Linked DNA regions of Pelodiscus sinensis. The protein of the gene in region 3 interacts with the protein of the main gene of each other region in a pairwise test. Links are inferred from orthologs where the notes say so. Each region holds a gene or a part of one and is shown on either strand. Other genes may lie near its edges. The genes, in order: ASB9, TRIM63 and CKM.

Region 1 (7,788 bases), on a different chromosome or scaffold from region 3:
TGAAGAGTTCAGAGCAGGTTTAGGCCAGAATGAAATACCTTTACTGGTACCTGCTACAGCATGTTGACAGACAGGTCTGGACTAACTTCTGAAGGTGGAATGAAGCCTTTATAAGAAGGGTTATCATCACAGATGGACAAACTAGTAGGCCAGTGATTTCATAGAGCCCAACATTTCTTTTATCTTCTATGGTGTCTCAGAAGAAGGCACAATGAAACCAGCACTGTAGAGGAAAGAAAGAAAGACTGGGAAGCAGACAATGATCACTAATTCAAAGGGGCAGAAAAACTCACCCCTCTCTTTGAAAAATAAAATAAAATTTCAAAAAAGATTACTCAGATCTGTAAAATGTAGAGGAGTCAAAGGGCCAAGTGGGAGGCATGGCCTGCCTTAAATGCATCCTTACTGGTAGTAGTCAGTGCATGGAGTACAGACCTTCATGAAGTAAGTCTTTTTGTGTAACCTATTTTGTGGTATTTCTTTAGAAAATTAGATTTTAAAAAAATGTTAGTTTTGTAGCATTTCACTTCTTTTCGCAAGCAAGGTGGCAAAGTTCCATCGGCTGCACTGAAACTACAGCAACATACTGTGTCCCTAAAGATCTATCCCCAGAGGGATAGAGCAACAGTGAGCCCACGCCATATTATATTGTTTGGTGAAGGCTATTGTGCTATTCATAACTACCAGTATATGGATTTTGCTTTAAAAGCAATTTGAGTAGAATATTGTTTATTAAATCACATTCATCCATGAACAATGTGGGGTAGTTTTACAGACTGAAAAATGGGATCATCTAAAGAATAAGGAAACAATCAAGTTGTTACAGTAATGTGGATAGCTGCCTCTGCTTCTTTGCGGTACATGTTCAGGTGTACTGATAGGGAAAATGTAGGACTAGGTTATGTTCTACTTGCCCTGTTTTCTACTCAGTACTGTAGATGTAGTAGCAGCTGTGCAGTAAATTATTAATATTTTGTGGATTTGCAACATAGACCCTAATTATTGAGATAAACACAGCCGATAGCCAATGCTAACCAACCACTGAGTTTTTTTAATTCCAGATGTTGGCTTCAATCAATATTTAAACTCCATTCTGCACATGAATAGTAACTGCAAGGGAGGTGAGCCTGCTTACGCCAGTAGCGAATTCGGAGAAGCAAACATATTTTTAAAAATTCCCTCACCAGAACTGCCTAGTGTGCTTGTAACATTTTGAAATCTACCCAAGAACTTTAACCATAGGCACTGACCAAAATAAAATAGTAGGTGCTAAGCACTTACTGACTACTGGCCCCACCCCCAGCCCCTGCTCCTGCCCTGGCCCCCAGCACCTCCTATCCACGGTGTGCCCTGCTGGTCAGCAGAAGGCAGGTCTGGGGCTTGAACACTCTCAGGCAAATCAGAAAGTTGGTGCCTCTGCCTTTAGTCCATAGATATTATAAATAGGAACTGAAATCTTCTGTAGTAGTCTAAAGCTGAGATATTCAAAGGGACCTAAAAGTTAGGAGTCAAACTCCCACTGACTTTCAGGGTGAGTTGGGTGTCTAATTTCTTAAGTTCATTGAAAAAAATCCTGTCCACATATTATTTTGAATCCTTAAATTAGTGGCACCAATCTTTGCCTCACAATAGGCTTTTTTATGTTACCATAGTGCCTGTGAGCCTAGTCATGTACCTGGTTCTCATTGTGCAGGCTCTGTACAAACACAGCCTTTCCTCCTTCCTTCCAAATGCTGGAAACCTGTCGGCCATTTAGTAAGAATCCACTTCAAATCCAGACTCATTCTGGATTGTTATCACTGTTCTGCCCTCCTCCCTCACAAAAAAAAACCCAAAACCCAAATCAACCTAGAGAGCAAGACACCAAGGTCACTTCTGCGCTGCAGCTGGCCTTGTAGTTCTCATATCCTAACTGCACCAGTCTTTTTTCTTTATGTAACAAAGGAAAAATCTCCAGAGTTCTCATGAAGAAAAGAAGAATATTGCAATGTTACAGCATGTTGTCTTCATTTTTCCTCCCCCAGCACACTGGCCATAAACTGAAAGCTTAGACTCCCCAAGGACATGGACTGAAGTGAAACACCACTAACCAAGCTGTATGTGAAAAGAGATTGTCTTGTGACACTGCATCAGATTGTTCACATGCTTGGGAGCAAACTGAGATTCTTACTCAAAGGGGTGAGCAAAAAGGGGGCAAATTGGATGCAGAACTGCTCCTCGGTGACAGAAAGGGGTTCGCACCCTGGCCTGCTGGGACTAAGCCACAAATGTGGCAATGTCACCAGCAAAGATTTTTGTAGCGTATCTTTCGAAACAAAAGAGGAACTTGTTCCGCTGAGCAAGCAGTGAGCATTCAGCTGGCAATAATGCAAACCAAACATGCCCACAGTGCAATTTCTTTTGCAGTTATGTCCAGGTCAGATTGTAATGCTTATTTTTCTTTACACAGATTCCTAATATCTGTGAAGTGTTTAAAAATAAATTTTGGTTTTACTGCCATGTACCCCGATGTCTACCTAAGAACTGCATGTAAACAAGCCTTCAGGGAGAATATGCCTCCAGAGCTCTGAATAGATATCATCCATAGCCCTTCCATGACCACCAGAAGGCTCTCGGGAAGACCGTTTGGATAGATACAGTTGTATTACTTACCGCTCATCAGTGCATTTGACGGAGAAGTTGCAAGTGACTGTCCTTCCACTCCCTGGGATATACTGGCATTTTCCTTTGCTCCAGCACCATCCATTGCACACTGGGCAGTCAAATTTCTGTTATTTCACTTCACAGTTGCTCCTGAGAGTTCAAATTCCATCCTCCCTGATGAAAATCTTAGTTATGCAAGTAATCTATTAAGCAAACACCGTGTGTGTGAGACAAGCCGACTTCTCAGCAGACTGGAACTTGGTGCCGGCAGCAGTTTCAAATAACTTGAGTACCTGTGTGCACTGCCGATTTAATGAAACGCCTCCTCATTCACTTGGTGTACAGAGATCAGACAGGCTACACTGTACAAAGTGAGGGATGTGGCTGATGTCATATCCTTTCAAAAGCCACGTCCAATCAGCAAGTCTGCCTTCTGTTTTTATCAGGAAGGAACTTCTCAGTTTTTGCCAACAAACCAAGAGAGAGCCAGCTCAACTAGTTGAGCAAATTCTGCTTTTAGGGATTTGTAAAAGTATCTCAGGAAGATAACTGTGCTCAATGCTTTGCTTTCAAGAGAAGGATCAAATTAGGTTGTTTTGAGACAACACCTTTTTCCTGTATCTAGTGTGCCTCCAGTTTTCAAACACTGACATTATCTGAAAAGCTCATGACTGCATGCAAAGAATGGAATACTGAATTCCTTTTACACAGCAGCAGTCACTACATGCCATGATAATATTGAAACCACATGTTCCCAAAGCTGTGCTTTCCCATGGAAGTGCTTCATTGTCTCTAAGGCATGAAAAGCATAGTATTATGTGGCCTTATTTCCCTACATCCATTTCAATCAACTTCACTGAGTCATCATAGTTGCACCACCACTATATATCAGAGGTGGGGAACCTTTTTGGGGGGGGTCAGGGGCTGCTGAACCACAGAAATATCAGTCCGGGGCCACACGCAAGTGAGAGGCAAAGTGAGAAGCCCCTGACTGAGAAGGAAAAAGACACTCCTCACATCCCTCTCACACACCAGAGCCAAAAGGGGACCAGGCTAGTAGATTTTGTGTGCTCCAGCCCTGTGGGTGGGTGGCAGAGGGCTGGATCTGCTTTTTCACTAGAAACAAAAATAATTAACCTACAGACAAGTAAACAGGGTGAGATTTTCCAAAAGGCTTCCAGCCTAGGATTCTGTGTAGCATGGCAGTGAAGACAAGCCCTATCATCCACCTGGCACCTGCTCTTCACCACCAAATCAGAATATAAACAAAGATGAATTCCCACAAACACAAGCCTTTATCATCTCCTTCCATCCCCCAAAGCCTGAGTAAAGAATTTGCTCTTACAACATGCCCTAAGGTCAGGGCTATTTTGGACTGTAGGTGAGGGGTTAAGAAGCAAGACGGTTCCAAAGCTGAGGAAGGTGGTGTAACATGGCCACTACTCTAGCCCATGCACTGGAAAAACAACTGCCCCTGCATGAAGTACTAATCACTAGCCCCAGCTTTCCCCTGGCTGTCCACAGCATGGGGGAGTGAGGCTAGGGCAGCGCACTGCTCCTGCATTCTGCTGTCCAGCTGGAGCACACTTACTTGGGGGACCATGGGGGAGTGCTTTCGCACCGTTCGCACCTCCCCCCCTCCCACATATGGGCCTGACTAGAATCACACAGCTGCCTTTCCCATGAAGCCTGCTTCTCTCCCTCGTTCTGGTGCCTCATACATAGGGCAGCACTGATATCTCTGCAGTGCACAGGGAGTGATGCTATTTCCCAGCACAACCATTCTGTCAGGCAGCGCTTTGGGGGAACCGAAGACCTTTGGCTCAAGCCATTGGTTAATTTTGAATAATCTGTGGCCTACCCAAAGACATCATTCTACCAAAGACAGACGATGCCATTTTCAAACAAGCAAAGAATCCTCACTCCTCCACGTTGCTAAAGGGCAATGTCTAACAATTAACTAATTATTAATCATATTTGTTGCTAGTACACAAATGTACACCGACCATTTGTCCCAAATTTTCCGGGATAGTCCCGAATTGAAATATTCTGTCTCAGTACCCCATCAAGTAGTGAAATGTCCCGGAAATCTCTGCCGGATATTTCATTACTTGATGGGGACACCAGCTTGCAGGGAAGAAACAACTGAGAAATGGCTCTGTGCACTGCCATTGCTCCTTGCACGGCACGGCACGGCACAGCACAACAGCGGCCTCCTCCCCACCAGCAGAGCACATAGGTGGCTCCATTGGAGCTTTGCCGGTGGGTATAATTATGTAAATAACGGTAAGTTTCCATTAGCAACCGACGATCCACGGAAAGGTTTACATTAAGCCAGGTGGTTCATAGGCCAAAAAGTTTGAGAACCCCTGAAATAGAGGCATCCCCAGCCTCTTCCACCGAGTTAATGCAATGCAAGTTGGGTTAATGCAATTGCAGCATAGTTGCATGGAAGGGGTCCTATGAGGTCCAAACCCCTCCCTATTGGTAGAGGATGGTGGGTGGAGTTCTTAGAGGGGTCACACAACACCCTTTACTGCAGGTCATGTGTCCATCTTGACCCAGGAGTACTACCTCCAGGTGTGGGACTTATGGCAGGCAGGCGTGGCTAATGGAGAATAGGGGGTATTGCTATTGGAAGTCGAGGCATGGCTAATAGGGATCAGAGGGCATTGCTAATGTGAGTCAGGGGGCACAGCTAATGTGTCCTTAATTTTGATTGAGAAAATATGGTCACCATTCCTTAATGCCATCAAAGGATGGGACTCCATATTGCTAGACACTGTACAAACACAGATACAAGCACAAATTATGTTCTTTTTATGTGGTTTGTACTGAATATCTTAACATATACCAAGAAGCAGGAATGCAGTTTTGCAGCCCTTACTCACTTCAGTAGTTCAAAAATATCACAGAGCCCTAAAAGTTTTCTTGTTTCTTGCTGCTGCTGGGTCCCTGGATCCCCTAACACAGATTCTAATCATATCCTGTGAGTGTTTTCTATCCCACATCCTCAGCCTGCATGGTGTCTCAGCATTATCTCTTTTCAGTACCCGATGTTTGCAAACTGCATGCATTCCCCTCTAAAAGATGGCTTTGTTTGCATAAGTCTCACTTCACAGCAATTTTCTCTATCAAGTACATTAGCAAAGCTGATACAGAAAATTATGTACAAACATAAGAGGTTTAGTTTTACAGCATTAAATACTGTAGCCTGAGTTTGGAAGTTGAGGGACCGTGGATAGAAAAATTAAACAAACAATTTAGATTAATTAAGATTATACAACTAAAGGCAAACAAAAACGTTTCTTTGCTGGTACACTGCCTGTTTCCTTTTTCTTCACTCTTGACATCCTCTCACTCCAACAGCTATGAGTGAGCAGCAAATTGGAGAGTGGATTACCAAAGGTCACCACAGTAAAGTGTGTGCCTATCATCTGGGCAGTATTAAAGCAGTATTGGGGACTAGGGGCAATCCGTGGTAGTTATATTTGATGAATAATACAGAGCTGAGACCAGCTGAAGGAAAAGAAACCACAACTGCAGAACTAACTGGGGGTTTTTTTCCCCTCCAAGAGGTAACATAAGACTAATATAAATCAAGGGTTAGGCAATACAGTAGCATTCACACAAAGGATATATCTATAATGTAACTGGGTAGACATACCCACACTGTCTCTATCTGCCATGTGACACTCTACCCCCATATTTTTAAGGAAATATGGTTTTGAACATGAATATAAACATGAACATGACTATGAATATACATATGAGAATATTCAAGTAATCCCCTGAATGTGTATATTTTATTTGTGTGCCTGTATCTTTCTCGATTATGAAGTTAGAAAAATGGACTGTACATTTGTTTATTAAACGAGGTCTTCTAGGCTGTGGCTACACTGAACCCCTCTGTTGGCAGAGGGATGCAAATAAAACACTTTGAAAGTGCAAATTAAGTGGGGATTTAAATATCCCATGCTTCATTTGCATAATTCTGTCTTGGCGCTGTTTCAATCAAGCACCATTTCAAAACTGAAACCATGGTTTAACCACAGTTCTGCCAACAGCGGGGTGATTTTTCGACAGATCCTGTACTCCTAGCTTTTTGGTGCTTAAGGAACTTAATGGCCTTGTGCTCAAGGCAATGAATAGTTTTGTTTTTCCTAGAAGCCTGGATTGTGGTTGGTCCTACAAAGACATCTGACCATGTCACCTAGTGCTGGAATCCATCTTCAATTTTGTACTTTCCCAGTCAGGGGAGACATGAATAAAGAGTTCCTGCCCTGGGACAATTCTATTTGAGGGATGGGAAGCAAAGTATGATTGTCTTCAGCTGGCTTCACAGGCTGCTCCCCATCACAAGAAGAGACCTGAATGAGAATGGGAGGAGAAAGAAGCAGCTGGGTTTAGGTGAGAAAAAAGATCAGCTCTGACCTGAAACATTTTACATGAAATAAGGACTGGGGTGAGAAATTATGATTTGTAACAATTTCTCTTAGTATAGTAGATTTAACTGGCATGTTTTGTTGATTTTAGGTTAGCATGGGCGCATAGCATCATAGGTGATCAATCAGCCCTGCCCAGTCAGTCAATCAGCAGGTGTGATTAATCACTTGTGAAGTTGTGCTGCCCTGCAGCTTAGAGGAAACACTGGTTTGGGTCCTATTTGATGCTGTGCTCCTGGATGCTGTCAAATCCCTGTAACTGAGCCCTCTTCAGAGCTGAGCTGCTCTCAGTGTCTGTGTCACTCTGTTGGGGGAGGGCTGTTGCCCCATGTGACAGGGCGCTTGCCCTGCACTGGCCCTTTAAGGTCAAACCCCAGCCCGGAGCAAGGGTTGAGAGTAAGGCCCCAGCTGAGGCAGGCCTCATTAATTAGGGCCCAGCTGGGGCCTATAAAAGGAAGGATGCCTGGAGGGAGAAGGAAGTCAAACTGCTGCTCTGGGAGGAGAGCAGGGAGGGCCTAGTTGCTAGAGGAGCAGGAGGATCCCCGGAGTGAAAGCAGCGCTGGGGAAGCAAGGCGGGGCAAGGAGAGTTCGGGTCCAATACGCTCCACGGCTGCCAGGCCTGAAACACGGCCTGTGGAGTAACAACTTTTCACAGAAGGGGGCCCAGAGACTGGTGTGGGTGCTGCCAGAGGGCAGTGTC
Region 2 (7,216 bases), on a different chromosome or scaffold from region 3:
AGCCGTGGCCCTGTATTCCAAAGCTGTGGCCCTGTATTCCAAAGCCGTGGCCCTGTGTGCTGAAGCCGTGACCCTGTATTCCAAAGCTGTGACCCTGTATTCCAAAGCCGTGGCCCTGCGTGCTGAAGCCGTGGCCCTGTATTCCAAAGCCGTGGCCCTGCATGCTGAAGCCGTGGCCCGCAGCCACAGGGATTTATTCTTGCAGCTCCGTGCAGGGCCCTGCAGCAGGAGCTAACGACTGGCTGGGTTCCCGGCAGTGCCGGCCAGCACACGGCTCGCCATGACAGCCAGCAGGGCCACTGCACCAGCGAGAGGCGTCCCGGTGCTGACTGTGCCCTGGCGTGGCTGGGCTGCTAGCCCTGCGGCTCCAGGCCAGTGTTTCTCCAGCAGGCTCCCTGGGGGGCCGTGAGCAGGTTCCAGGGGGGCTTCCACAGCTGGCCACCGTCCCGCGGAGCAGACACGCGCGTCGGGTCCCATTCCAGCAGCGCTGGGCCACGTGGGGAGTGCGCGAGGAGGCAGGTACCTGGGCAGTGAGCCAGCAGGAGCAGGCGGTTTTCTACCTGCCCGTGGCTATTCCTGGCCCACGAGCCGCCAGTCCCAATTCCAGCTGGTCTGTTTTGACCGTGGGGCCCCTGCCCCGGGGACGTTTGGATTCCTGGGGCTGGGGGCCCCCGGCAGCTGGCCTGGCTTGTTCTCCCGGCGGGGGGAGCAGACCGGATGGTTTTCACTCCCGAGCGGGAGTGAATCACCTGCCGCGCACGAGCCCTTCTGCTAAGGAGCTGGGGACAGGCCCAGCCGCCCGCCTGCCCTTGTCAGGGGTTCCTGGGAGTCCCTGAGCGGCACGGGCAGAGCTGCCGCTATTTACCCAGAGGGCGCGGACGGCGGCGCTACCCAGGCACCTTGCGGATGCCGGGACGAGAGAGCGGCTGACACCCTGTACGCACACCCCCGGGTGTCGAAAATAGGACCCTAGGCCTGCCGAGGGGAGTGACGGCGCGTCGGGGTCCCCCCTGAGCCTGCACCCCCGCAGCAGCAAGAACAGACTCTGCAGCCAGTAGAACAGGGGGGTTTCTTGCTTCTCCGGGGTACAGCCCAGCACAGACGGGATGTGGCTACAGGAGTCAGGGCCAGGCTGCCTCAGCCCCCTCGGGTTAGGGGGTCCATCGCCCCCCAACCCTCTGCACCCAGCTTAGTCTGTTCCCTTCCCAGGAACTGCCTCCCTCCCAGCCCTGCCCCCCAGCCCGGTGACTGTCTCCGCCTCCCTCCCGTTGTCTCTCCCCCTGGGAAGAGCCCTGTTACCTGCCCAGGCTGGGACTAGGTGTCTGGGCCAATCCACGTGTGGGTGAGTCCGTGGGAATCGCACAGCGCAAGGGGACCCCGGGTTGCAGAGCAGACACCCCCCCACTACGTCACAAGGTTGCGTCTGTTCTGTACACCGAGAGAACCTGACTGAGGACTGCGTGAGCATGCTCGTAGGGGTGGCCGTTGATCCGGGGGTACCGCACTGGGGAGCCGGGAGAGCTCGGAGGAGCTGTACGGCTGCCGTTAATAGGGGTTCCCATCAGGTTCCTTCGAATGGTTCCCATGCGCGTGCGGGATGGACTCTGTTAGGTGTGTCAATGTGGAGGTGATGTGTGAGCGTCTCCTGCTCCGAGGAGTCCCGGGGCACCGGAAAGGTTCTGGGCCCCAAGCGTGGGATGGACCCGTCGGTCTGGCAGGGCTACCTGCGCCTGCCCGGAGGGGAGCGATCCGTTACTTTGCGGAGGGCCCGTGCTAACGAGGCCCGGTCCCCCAGCTGATGAGAAGGCGGGGACGCCGAAGCAGCCCCTCCCGGTCCGACGGGGAGAGTTCGCGAGCGACTCCCACGCGGCGCTTTCGCGCTGGGGTCTGGCTGGGGGGTCGTTTTGCTGATGTCTGGCTTCTTCCAACGCTGTTACTGAGCATCCAGGGAGCCCGAAGCCTCCTGCAGTTTGCATGTGACCCAGCCTGGTGCCTGGCTTGTGCCCGTTCCGGCTGCTGCGTGGAGAATGGCGGGTGTGGCCGGCATGCCAGGTGGGGAAGGCAGCCTGGCCCCGCCCACACTCCGCAGGCCTACCTGCTGCGGGGGCCACATGCTGCCTGAGGGGGGAGGCAATTTGGCTCCCGTGGGGGCGGGGCCTGGGCAGAAGGGGCGGGGCTAGGGGCAGGCTGGGGACTTTCCTCGGCCCGCCCTACGCTCACCCACTGCCCATGCCGAGGGGCATTGCTGGCCCGCGGGGCGGACGGCCTGCTCGTGGCTGTGCAGGCGGCCGAGCCCCCGATGGCCTGGCTGCTTGGCTGGGCCTGGGACGGGGTCACCGCCATAGCGGGGCACATAACAAAATCCATGTGTCGGGGGTGGGGCCGAGTGGTTTGGAGGGCGGCAGGGCTCTGGCTGGGGCCGGGGTGAAGGGTGTGGGGGTCAGGCTGCCCTAGGGCGGCAGCTGCAGGGAGAGAGTGGACTCCCCCAGGCCTCTTTCCCTGCAGCAGCCCCTGGGCGTGGGGGAGAGGCCCTCCCTGAGCACGCGCCTGGCCCGGCAGCTCCTGTGCTGCACAACGGGGATGAGCCCTGGGCGGGGACGTGTCGCATTGACCGCAGGGGGAAGGGCCGGCCAGGTTCACGGGCACGAGGAGGGTTAAACCCTGGGGGGTGGTGGAGGGTCCCTCACTGGACACGCGCCTGCCCGGGATGCTCAGACGGTGCCTGGCCCTGCCGAGAGGCTCGAGGTCCCTTCCCATCCTACGACTCTGGGGTTCGATGATTTTAACACAATGGAGGATCCCCGAGTCCCAGGCCTGGGAGGTGCCCTCGGGCGGCTCCCCACCCCTGGCACTGGGGGTGTCTGGTGCTACCTGCAGGACCCATGGCCGGGCTGGGGGCTGTGACGGTCTGAGGAGCAGCCAGCAGAGTCTGGGGGAGTTGTGGGGCTTGGGTGGAAATCTGTGATGCCCAGCAGGGACCTCGGGCCGAGGCTGAACAGGGCGGGTGCTGGAGCAACCAATCCCAGCTGCATGGACAATACGGTGGGGGCTAATTTAGCTCCAACCACTCGAGAGATCTTGGAGTCCCAGTGGGTCGTTCTCTGAAAACATCCCCGCAGTGCAGCAGCCGTCACAAAGGCAAACGGGACGTTAGGAGTCATTAGCAAAGGGACAGAGCGTAAGACAGAGAATATCTCGTTGCCTCTATAAAACCATGGTGCACCCACAGCTTGAATACCGTGTACAGACGCGGTCGCCTCATCTCAAAAAAGATCTCTTGGCATTGGAAAGGGGTCAGGAAAGGGCAGCAAAAGTGATCAGGGGTTTGGAACGGGTCCCATCTGAAGAGAGATTAAAAAGTCGGGGACTTTTCTGCTTACAAAAGAGGAGACTAAGGGGGGATAGGACAGAGGTCTATAAAATCATGACGGGTGTGGAAAAAGTGAATAAGGAAAAGTTATTGACTTTTTCCCACAATATAAGAACTAGGGGTCACCACATGAAATTAGCAGGCAGCAGGTTTAAAACAAACAAAAGGAAGGTTTTCGTCACTCAGTGCACAGTCAACCCGTGGAACTCCTCGCCAGAGGATGTGGTGAAGACTAGGACTTTAACAGGGTTCAGAAAAGAGCTAGCTAGATTCCTGGAAGTTAGGTCCATCAATGGCTGTTCGCCAGGCTGGGCAGGGATGGTGTCGCCAGCCTCTGTTTGTCTGGACATGGGTGACGGGAGGGATCACATGAGGATTCCCTGTTGTGTTCCCTCCCTCTGGGGGATCTGGCACTGGCCGCTGTGGGCAGACAGGCCACTGGGCTGGATGGGCCTTTGCTCTGACCCCGCCTGGCCGCTCTGATGTTCTTAAGGGGGTCACTTAACCCTTTGCGATAGGGACGCGGAGGCCGGGTGGGGGTCACAAGGGGGATGACTCTGTTTACAGCTGCGTCTCCAGTGTCTTTGTTTGGAAAGACACTGCAAAATCCCAGGAACTGTGGCTGGGCCAGCCCCGGACAGGCCGTCCCCTGCCCTGTTTACAGCCCGCTCCCCCCAGGGGCACCGATTGCTCATTCTCCCATGTGACAGGCAGGCCGCTGGAAACTCGAGCCCCTCTCCAGCACATGTGACTCTGCCCTAAATTATAAATAGGCAGGGAGAGGGGCAAAGGCAGGAGCCCAGGCTGAGCCGCAGGGAAGGAGCCAGAAGCTTGAGCTCAGAACTTGGTGCAGCTGAAGAAGGCAGGCGGAGCCGGGAGAGTTCCCTGAGGAGCTGTCGACACCGGCGTTGGGATATACCTGGGGAGGCCGCCCAGCGCCATGGATTACCAGCCCAGCATCATCCGAGACCCCAGCCCCATGGAGAACCTGGAGAAGCAGCTGATCTGCCCCATCTGCCTGGAGATGTTCAACAAGCCCGTGGTCATCCTGCCCTGCCAGCACAACCTGTGTCGGAAGTGCGCCAGCGACGTCTTCCAGGTGAGTGCCTGGCCCGTGGCTGGGCCACTTCCTGTGCCTGGCTGCAGGCGGGGGGGAGGCTGCCGTGAGCTCCCGGGGACCGAACCGGAGGCTGCTCGCGGGGTGGCTGAGGGCTGGAAGGGCCAGGCTTCCCTGGGCGCTCCCCTGTCAGGAGCCGGGCAGGGCGGGGTAGACTCCGGGCTTGTGTAACCCAGAGGCCACTGACAAGGAAAGTTCGCTCCAGGCCGCAGCTGGGAGCTGGTGGGTTTTCAGATCATGCCATAGAGTGTTGTGGCTTTAGCCCCGAAGGTCGCAGGTTCAATCCCGCCTGTCGGCTTTCCAAGATTCTGGCTCCAAGTGCTCTAGCTTGTGCCCTTCCAGGCTGTGCTTGTCTGTCAGAGCGGAGGGGGCAGCGTCTCGCTCTGCGTTTATCTAGGACGCTGGTGAAAAAATCCCCGTGACTTCAACGGCCTGGGAATGAGCCGGCTTGGCACCTGGTTCTAGAAAGGACCCATCCCCCTGGTCTCCTCTCTTGGCTGAGCCGGGCTAGGAGCCAGCTGATAAACCCGATGGCTGGGCCCCCTCTCGCTGAGCTGTGCTGCTCACGTCCAGCGTTCCCAGCAATAGAGGAAGGAGGAGAAGACCAGGCAGGAAGGGAGCGATGGGACCCGCTGCAGGGCCGGCTGCAGGCTGTGCCGGCGGGGGTGTAATTGACCGTGGGTTCCTGGCACTTCCCCCATGTGCAGACCCCCTTGACTCCTGGCAATGGGCAGAATGTCGAGGTCCCTGCAGCTCAGATTCCTCCCTGGGAATTTTGCCAAAAAGTCGGCTTCTCCATCCCCCCGCCCCGTGTGCTTGGCCACTTCTCATAGGATCACGGAGCCCTGGGGCGGGCGGAGCCCTCAGGAGGCACCGAGTCCAGCCCCCTGCCCAAAGCAGGACCCATCCCAATGAAATCTCCCCATCGCCAAGAATGGAGACGCCAGCCCCTCCCTAGGGAACCCAGCCCAGCGTCCCCCACCCGCCTGGGGAAGTCGCTTTTCCTAATCTCCCCCCTAGACCCCCCCGGCAGTGCAGGGTCAATGCTGCAGGCGCCCGCTGGGCAAGAGGGAAATTCTAACTGGGCGACGTTTCTTGGCTGCCCCAGAAGTGGTGGAGCGGTGGGGCCGTGGGCCCTGGGCCAGGCCCTGGAGGTCTGGTCCCTTCCGAGCCCGTTGTACACTCCCGGAGCCCGCGCGCTCGGAGGCGTTTCTAACCCGTGAACGACGGACGCCTCTCAGCACCCCCATGCCCTGTGCCCAGCTCAGGAGCAGGAGGGGGTGGCTGCGGCAGGGGGCTGCGACTCAGGACTCCTGGCTCCATTCCCAGATCTGCCCCTTGGCCACATTGCCTCAGGGGTTTTGCTTTGCCTCGGGCGCCCAGCTGTGCCCGGGAGACATTTGCCTCCTTCCTGGGGTTTTGTGAGCCGTAATTCCTCGCTCACCGGGTGCAAAGCATTATGGGATCTGCGCCCCGCGGGCGATGGGCGGGGCTGGGATGCAGGCTCTGTCCCTGGGGGATGCCGAGGGGCGGGGTTCACACGAGTCCACGTGACTGTCTCGACTGCGCAGTGGTGAGCGTTAGGCGTGGGCGGCGGGTACTGTAGGCAAGGGAAGGCGTCGCCGTCTGCCGCCACCCCACAGCTGCTGGGGAAAGGTGGGGCCATGGCGCAGCAGCCCCAGCCCTCCAGGTGGCCAGGAAGGATGGAGCTGGGGGTGGGCGGGGCTCGGCTCCACAGGGGTGTGGGGAAGGGGCGGGGCTGGGACTTGCCTTCCCCAGCTGGGCCTCCACCCGTCCATAGTTTTGGGCCTGTGGCAGGTGACTGGGGTGACCTTTGCCCTTGTGCTGCCGGCACTCACAGGCGGCGAATCCGTACTGGCAGAGCCGGGGAACCACCCTCTCTGGGGGGCGCTTCCGGTGCCCCTCCTGCCGCCACGAGGTGATCCTGGACCGGCACGGCGTCTACGGGCTGCAGCGGAACCTGCTGGTGGAGAACATCATCGACATCTACAAGCAGGAGTGCTCCAGGTGAGCCCCGCGCCCGCCCGCGCCAGCAGCCCCGCCAGTTCCCGGGTGCGGACAACAGGCAGGCAGGGGAATAGGAGGCAGGGAGTGTTCACACAGCAGCAGGTGCAGATCTGGATTCCGAGGTCTGAAAGGAGTTAACCGATGAATTTCCTGAATCGCTGGCATGGAGGCAGAGACAGGTGCTCTATGGGGCAAATATGGTACCAGGCTTTGAAAGGGGGGGGCCGGGGAGGTCTGCAGAATCAGCAAATACCATCTCCCAAGTGGAGTTCCGAAGGCGCGATAAGAGCAGCAGCTGGTCTACACGGTTCCACTCTCACGTGCCTAGAATCAGTAACATGTCCCATCCCCCTCCCCAGCCTGTTGCAAACGGGGAACTGACCCTGGGCTCATGGGTTAATGGTCACAGTTACCTGCAGTCTCCCGGTGCATGGAGAGCTGGGTTAAAAGCCAGCTCCGGGGTGCACCGGCTCCCAGGGAGTCCACTTTTGCCCCACCTGTAACCATGTGACCACTGACATATTTTATTGGTTGCACGGTTCCTTCGTTCCACACATTTTAACTTCCCGACTGATAAAAACAAACTGTGCCCAGAGCAGCACGGCCGCGGCTTTGAGAGTCATGTTGCAGGGAGGAGGGAGCGAACACAGTAGCTGTTCCCAAGGTTCCCTCTAATCTTTTCCATCCAAGTGCAGATTTTT
Region 3 (7,478 bases):
TCCCCTCCCACCACAGCCCCCCAGTCCCCTCCAGCCCCCCTCCTGCCACAGCCCCCCAGTCCCCTCCAACTCCCCTCCCACCACAGCCCCCCAATCCTCTCCAGCCCCCCTCCCACCACAGCCCCCCAATCCTCTCCAGCCCCCCTCCCGCCACAGCCCCCCAAACCCCTCCAGCTCCCCTCCCACCACAGCCCCCCAGTCCCCACTGCAGGCCCCCCTCCCACCACAGCCCCCCAGTCCCCTCCAGCTCCCATCACAGCCCCCCAATCCCCTCCAGCCCCCCTCCTACCACAGCCCCCCAATCCCCTCCAGCTCCCCTCCCACCACAGCCCCCCAATCCCCTCCAGCTCCCCTCCCACCACAGCCCCCCAGTCCCCTCCAGCCCCCCTCCCACCACAACCCCCCAGTCCCCACTGCAGGCCCCCCTCCCACCACAGCCCCCCAGTCCCCTCCAGCTCCCCTCCCACCACAGCCCCCCAGTCCCCACTGCAGGCCCTCCTCCCACCACAGCCCCCCAGTCCCCTCCAGCTCCCCTCCCACCACAGCCCCCCAATCCCCTCCAGCTCCCCTCCCACCACAGCCCCCCAGTCCCCTCCAGCTCCCCTCCCACCACAGCCCCCCAATCCCCTCCAGCCCCCCTCCCACCACAGCCCCCCAGTCCCCTCCAGCTCCCCTCCCACCACAGCCCCCCAAGCCCCTCAGCCCCTCTCCCCTGCTCCAGTCCCCCCTCCCACTCCTCTCCTCCCTGCCCCCCGCCCCCCCCGCCCGCACCTTCAGGTTCTCGTGGTTGAGGTCGGTCTTGTGGGAGTCGGTGGGCTTGTAGCCGCCGTGCCGGTCCTGGATGACGGGGTCCAGCAGGTCCTTGAAGACCTCGTAGGTCTCCTCGTCCCCGGCCACGCAGCCCACCGTCATGATGAAGGGGTGTCCTGCGGGCAGCCGGGTGTCAGCCTGGGCAGCTGGCGAGGGGCCCCGGGGCCCCCCCTTGCTGCTCCTTGGGAGGGGGCAGCCAGGCTCCCGTGGGGCCCGTTCCCCACCAGTGGGGGGTGGCAGGAAGGGTTCAGCCCGGCTTCCCCAGGCCCCCTCGCCCTGCCAGGCCTCTTGCCCCTTTGCCAGCGGTTGTGGGGGGTCCCAGGGACACGGGGTGGGGGGGCAATTCTCCCTTGGCCACAGGCTGGAGCCCAGCTATCAGTGACTGGGGGGAGGGGTTCCCAGGATGCTGGATGCGCCGGGGGGGGGCTCCCCATAGCGCCCCTACCCTGGGGGCCAAGGACAAAAGGGCAGGTGTCCGCAAGGCCCCAGCCCCGCAGTGACAGGCAGCTCCTGGCCCAGGGCCCCCCATTCTGGCTGGGCCACGGTGGGCAGGTTGGGGAGGCCCCCAGGGCTCAGGTGGCAGGAGGGGGCCCCAAGCCGAGTTCCAAAGCAGCACGAGACCCAAGGGGGTGGGGTTCCCGGGGGGGGGGGGACGCTGGGTGGGGGAGCGGGGGGGGGGGTCCGTCCAGCGCCCACCTGGGTTGTCCACCCCGGTCTGGATGACGTCGTCCAGGGTGAAGCCGCTGGGCGTCTCCTTGTCACGCAGCTTCTTGTAGATGTCCAGGGTCAGGGCCTTGGCCATGTGGTTGTTGTGCTTGCTCAGGTCGGGGAACTCCTCCTCCGCCGAGAAGTTCAGCTTGTACTTGTTGTGGGTGTTCCCGAACGGCATGGCTGCGGGCAGGGGCGAGTCCTGCGGGGCACGGGGCTCGCTGAGGCCGGGGGGCAGGCGCCAGCTGGGACCAGGCCGCCCCCTCCCCTGCTCCGCCACGCCCGGGGGGCTCCTCGCACCCGCCCGAGCCCCACGACAGCGCAGCCCCCAAACCGAGAGGGGCGTCCCAGGCATCCCACGTGGGCTGCGCCAGCCACGGGACCGCCTAAAGTCTCCAGGGGAGGCGGGGTGAGCCCATGTGACAAGGGGGGGTTGTTCGTAACCGTTGGTCAGAACACCGGGCGTGCCTCAGTTTCCCCGGCGTGTGAGGAGCAGGGGGCATGGTTGTTTCAGAGACCCCTGGTGGGCAGGTGGGCCCAGCCTCTGCCAGGAGCCGTGGGCTGAGGGGCGCTGCTCTATGCCAGGTTCCCTGCTGGCTGCGGGGTGGGGGACTCCCTGCGGGGAGCTCAGGGCAGGAACCGGGAGGTCGGACCCCACCAGGCCCTTGGGCCAGCAGGGGGCGCTCTCCCCAGGTGAGTGGGGGGCAGTGAAAGGTTTGGGCAGAACCCCGTGCGAGGGGATGACTCTGCTGGGCCAGACTGGGGGGCAGCTGCTGGTGGGGGGTGCCCATGGGGCAGCGGGGCAGGGCAGGTGCCGGGGGGTGGGGGGAGGTATCTAGTTGCTGCGGGTGGAAAGTTGGGCCGGTTTTCAGCTGCTCTAGGAGGGCTATTTTAAGCCCCTGCCCTTGTCCCGGGGGGCAGGCACCTGGCGGGAGCAGCGGCAGCTGCCAGCTGAGCCCACATTCCCGGGGCTGCGTTTGCGAGGAGCCAGCCGCCTGCAGCCACGGGGGCCCTCTCGGGGGGCGCTGGGCTCTGCTCAAGGCTTCGGGGGCTCCCCGGCCGCAGGGGCCCCACCCTGGGCACCCCCCGTCTTCCCCCAGGGACCCAGAGAGGCCGCCAGGGTGCAACGGGCCAGCGAGGACCCAGCATCATCCCGGGGCCCGCCCCAATCACCAGCCTCCTGCTCTGCGGCCTCCCGACCTTCATGGGGGCCCCATGCCCCCCCAACCCGCCAGGAAGCTGATGGGGCATTGCCCTTGGGCGCCCCATGCAGGCTGCACCCACAGGGCCCTCCCCCACTCCGCCCTGCCCTGGCCCCGCGGGGCTCCCCGCTGCCCCCAGCCCAAGGTCAGGCGCAGCCCCTGCCCCGTTCCCCCCCCCGGGCTCCCCGTGCCGGGGTTACCGGATCAGCAGAACAGCGGGGACGGCACGGCACTGCCTCCTCTACTCGGACGTGACAAGTGACCCGGGACCCCAGCAGGGGAGCTGCCCATATATATACCCTGCGCACGGCTCCCATTGGCTGGCCCGGGCCGCCGGCCGGCCCCGATTGGACACGGCTGCCACCAGCCCAGCACAAAATTTGGGGCTGTCCTCCAGCTGGCCTGGCTGGGGGCCCGGCGGGCGCAGGATCTGGGCCCGGCTGTATCCCGGTGACCAGCAAAACAGACAAACAGCACGGGGAGAAATTCCACCTGCCGCTGCGTGACCCGCCGGGGTCCGTCCCTGGGGGGGATCACGACAGGCCGGGTCCGTCCCACCCCCCCGGGCCACGACCGGCTGGGTCCGTCCCACCCCCCTGGGCCACGACCATCTGAGCCCGATCCACCCCCCTGCCCACGACCATCTCCCCCCAGGCCACGACCGGCTGGGTCCGTCCCACCCCCCCGGGCCACGACCATCTGAGCCCGACCCACCCCCCTGCCCACGACCATCTGGGTCCATCCCACCCCCCCAGGCCACAACCTTCTGGGTCTGTCCCATCCCTCCAGGCCACGACCGGCTGTGTCCGTCCCACCCCATGGGCCTTAACCAGCTGGGTCCATCTCCCCACCCCCGGGTCATGGCTGGCTGGGTCCATCCCACCCCTCCCCAGGCATCCACCTCCTGGGTCCATCCCACCGCTCCCCTGGGCCATGACCAGCTGGGCCCATCTTCACTAGGGCCAGAACCATTCCCGGGCCCGCTCTGAGCTGGCGTGCAAGGTCCTGGTTGAGGGCGACCCAGAACAAGGGGTTACATCCCTGCCCATCCTGGGCTCATTCTGTTCTGAACCCAGTTACACTGGGGCCCTTCACAACATCCCCCGGCAGGGAGTTCCACAGGTTTTCCCTGCTCTCCCTGGCTGGGCTGGGTCGGGACTCGGCGGGGGACCCCCCATGGAACGCTCCCTGGGTCCCAGGCTGGCCCCATGACCCTGGCGAGGCAGGCCCCAGGCTGCACCACCTTCCCATCCATTCCAAGGCCACGGGGACCAGACCCTGGGGACCCACGTGACTCCCCCCATCCTTTCTTCCTGCACCTCCAACCTGCCCCCTCCCCCGGCCGTGCAGCCAGCTTGGAGCCGGGGCCTGGGCAGCTGAGCTGGGCTTGTCAGCACATGGTCCCCGCCCATGGCCGCCCAGGCAGCCTAGCTCTTTATATAGGCAGCAATGCCAACCCTCCGCTTGCTCTGCAGCTGGCCCGGGCCCAGCACCGCCTGGCAGCTGCCCGCACGCCACCCCGCGCCCAAAACGGCCTGGCTCGGGTTTCCCGGCCCCCGACGCCTTCCTAACGGGGAGAGGAGCCGGGCGTGCATGCAGCAGCTGTCCCTGCGCTGATTTATGGGAGCGTGCCCCAAGGCTGGGCGAGTGGGGGGGCAGGGCCGGGGCGCGCCTGTCCCCTCCCCTCGGACCTGAGGCATGGCCCATGGCTGGACACCCCCTGCTGCCCCGAGGGGGGCTGCCGGGACAGCAACGGGGAACCCAGCTAGTGCCCAGGGCCCGGTCCGGGGAGGGGGGAGCGGCTTTGGGTGGGTGTGGGGGGGGATTTGTTCCGGCAGCACGTCCCTTCCTCCCGCCGCTCCCACTCGGCGAGGGCCTGGGCCCAGCCTAGACCTCCAAGCCACGTTCATGTGCTGCAGCCCGGGACTGCATGGGGGTGGGGATGCCCCCTGTCTCGTTGGGGCGGCGTCAGTTAAAGTCAAAGGCGCTCAAGAGAGCCAAGCGGCCACCAACCTGGGGAACGCCCTGCTGCAGGATACTGGGCCGACGTGAGAATGTTTTGCATTATTTTAGGTGGCTGATGCGTGCCTCAGTTTCCCCCTTTATGTTGCATGGCTACCCCGTGGGGAGGGTGAGGTTTGCTTTCTGGACCCCCCTAAGAAACACAGGTGGGAAGGGGTGTCACTTCCCAGAGAGGGGGGCTGAAGAGACCTAGGACCCAGCAAGCCAAGGTCAGCCCCAGTGACCCCTTCATGGACACACCCGGCAGGGAGTGTGCAGAGCCCCCCACACTCGCCAGCCAAAGGGGGCTGGGCGGGGGAAGAGCTGGCTCTGGATGGCCAGACGGACACACAGAGCCTGGATTTGGGGTCCCTCCAGCTTGGCTGGGCCTGGGCCGCTTTAACCCCCCGAGGCTCGGCACAAACCTGGGGCCATCCCAGGCTGGGCACCAGGGCCAATTCACCCGCCTGCCAGGCGCCCTCCGGGGGCCGCGCCTCTCCCAGTCTGCCCCCCCAGACACCGCTCACGGGGGGCGGCAGGAGGGAAGCGGTTCAGGCTCGGAGGTGGGGAGGCCGCACGGCCGGCCCTGGAGGAGGCGTGGGACCCCTGGGGTTCCTTCCAGAGGCTGCTCCAAAGCGGGGGCCGTAGTCCCGAACCTGGGAGCCCCTGACAGCTGTTCCAGAGGCCAGTGAAGGGGCCGGCGCCCGAGCACGGCCACCGCGGAGACGCCCCCGGAGAAACGGGCGCCAGGCTCGAGTGGATCCCTCCCTGGGGTTGGGCGGCCCAAGGGCAGGCAATTGCCACCTCCTCCCCCCACCATTGCTGGGGTCAGGGGGCACCTCCCCTGAAATTGGTGCTGCGGGTTCCTGGCAAAGCCCTGGAGATCCGGCTCCCGCCCACCCCGCCAGGCGCCCTTAGGGGGCAGCCTGGATCCAAGGCCGTGGGGGCTGCCGGAGTCTGCTGAGAGCCTGGGACTCATGCGGCTGCAGCCAGGTCCCGGGGCCCTGTCGGAGGCTGGGGAGAGGATGCCCTTGGGGGGGGGCCCAGACACCAGCCCCGGCCTCGGGCAGATGTAGGCGGTTCCCACAGGACGGAGGGGGGCCCTGTCCCGTGCTGGGCACTGCGGTGCCCTCAGCCGGGCGGGGGAGACCCGGAGCCAATCGCCCGCGGGCTGGAGCGGAGAAAGGCCGGGGGGGGGGGGGGTCCTTCGGGCTCTGCTGATGCCGCTGGGTGAACGGGCCAGAGCAGAAGGGCCCAGCCGGGGATCAGTCCAGCAGGGGCGGCTGAGGAGCCCCCCGAGCGTCCCCGCGCCGGGCGGCAGCAAGGCCCCCGCTCAGACCCCTTCTGTCGACCGGACCTGGGTCGCCCCCACTCCCCGGCGGGTGGCAGCATCCCCTCCTCCCCTGAGCACATCTCGACTGGGCAGGGCCCAGCAATGGGCGCTGGGCTGTGGGGGGTGGGGGACGGGAAGGCTCTGGGGGGGGGCTGGGCTGGGGGGGGCGGGGCAGGGCCCAGCAGGGGGCGCTGGGTTGCGGGAGGCAGGGGACGGGGCGGCTGGGGGGGCAGGGCTGAGATATGGGGGGGCGGGAGACAGGGAGGCTGAAGGAGGTGCTGGGCTGCAGCAGGGGTGGGGCAGGGCCCAGCAGGGGGCGGGGGACGGGGCAGCTCGGGGGGGGGGGCTAGGGGGGGGGAGACTCAGGGGGGCGCTGGGCTGCGGGGGGGGGCAGGACCCAGCAGAGGGGGCGCTGGGTTGTGGGAGGAGGTGCGGCAGGGACCAGCAGGGGGCATTGGGTTGCGGGTGGCGGGGGGGAGGAGGCTCAGGGGGGCGCTGGGCTGCGGGGGGGGGCAGGACCCAGCAGAGGGGGCGCTGGGTTGTGGGAGGAGGTGCGGCAGGGACCAGCAGGGGGCATTGGGTTGCGGGTGGCGGGGGGGGGGAGGCTCAGGGGGGCGCTGGGCTGCGGGGGGGGGGGCAGGGCCCAGCAGGGGGCATTGGGTTGCGGGTGGCGGGGGGGGGGAGGCTCAGGGTGGCGCTGGGCTGCGGGGGGGGGGGGCAGGGCCCAGCAGGGGGCATTGGGTTGCGGGTGGCGGGGGCTCAGGGTGGCGCTGGGCTGCGGGGGGAGGGGTGGGGCAGGGCCCAGCAGGGGGCGCTGGGTGGCGGGGGGGAGGCTCAGGGGGGCGCTGGGCTGGGGGGGGCCGGGCCCTCCTGCTGGGTAGAGGAAGCGTCCCGCGGTGTCACCTCTGTCGGATCCGCTGGCTCATGGGAACTGGAGCCGGGCGCCGGGGCGGCTATTTATAGCGCCCTGGGGGGCGGGGCAGGGCTGGGCGGAGACCCCCCAGCGGGGGGTGCGACATGCCAGCCCGCGGCAGGGAGACCCCAGGGGGATGCCGCCAGCTTAGGGGACCACCCCTGCCCTGGTGCAGCCCAGCCCCCGGCTGCCCCCCCACCTCTGCGACATGGCTCACACAGCCCCTCCCCCGCCCTTAGCCCCTCCCCGCACTCACACAGCCCCTCCCCGCACTCACACAGCCCCTCCCCCGCCCTTAGCCCCTCCCCGCACTCACACAGCCCCTCCCCCGCCCTTGGCCCCTCCCCGCACTCACACAGCCCCTCCCCCGCCCTTGGCCCCTCCCCGCACTCACACAGCCCATCCCCCACCCTTGGCCCCTCCCCACACTCACACAGCCCATCCCCCACCCTTGGCCCCGCCCCACACTCACACACCCATCCCCCACCCTTGGCCCCTCCCCGCACTCACA

Evidence for each region.
Region 1: the proteins of CKM (region 3) and ASB9 interact in binary tests that used the Homo sapiens proteins (3 or more experiments, as listed by UniProt). The two-hybrid records come from large-scale screens. The link is inferred for Pelodiscus sinensis from reciprocal best matches to the Homo sapiens genes CKM and ASB9.
Region 2: the proteins of CKM (region 3) and TRIM63 interact in a two-hybrid assay, tested with the Homo sapiens proteins (2 studies listed by BioGRID). The link is inferred for Pelodiscus sinensis from reciprocal best matches to the Homo sapiens genes CKM and TRIM63.

Annotation. Positions count from the first base shown.
Region 1 is NC_134711.1:211,962,143-211,969,930, reverse strand, and holds the start of ASB9 (ankyrin repeat and SOCS box protein 9), read right to left. Parts: upstream 3,052-7,788; 5' UTR 2,747-3,051; coding exon 2,653-2,746; intron 1-2,652. UniProt on the Homo sapiens protein: Substrate-recognition component of a cullin-5-RING E3 ubiquitin-protein ligase complex (ECS complex, also named CRL5 complex), which mediates the ubiquitination and subsequent proteasomal degradation of target proteins.
Region 2 is NC_134735.1:1,664,486-1,671,701, reverse strand, and holds the start of TRIM63 (E3 ubiquitin-protein ligase TRIM63), read left to right. Parts: upstream 1-4,150; 5' UTR 4,151-4,310; coding exon 4,311-4,469; intron 4,470-6,348; coding exon 6,349-6,515; intron 6,516-7,216. UniProt on the Homo sapiens protein: E3 ubiquitin ligase. Mediates the ubiquitination and subsequent proteasomal degradation of CKM, GMEB1 and HIBADH.
Region 3 is NW_027465849.1:7,057,585-7,065,062, forward strand, and holds the start of CKM (creatine kinase M-type), read right to left. Parts: upstream 3,081-7,478; 5' UTR 3,038-3,080; coding exon 2,921-3,037; intron 1,721-2,920; coding exon 1,507-1,720; intron 927-1,506; coding exon 772-926; intron 1-771. UniProt on the Homo sapiens protein: Reversibly catalyzes the transfer of phosphate between ATP and various phosphogens (e.g. creatine phosphate).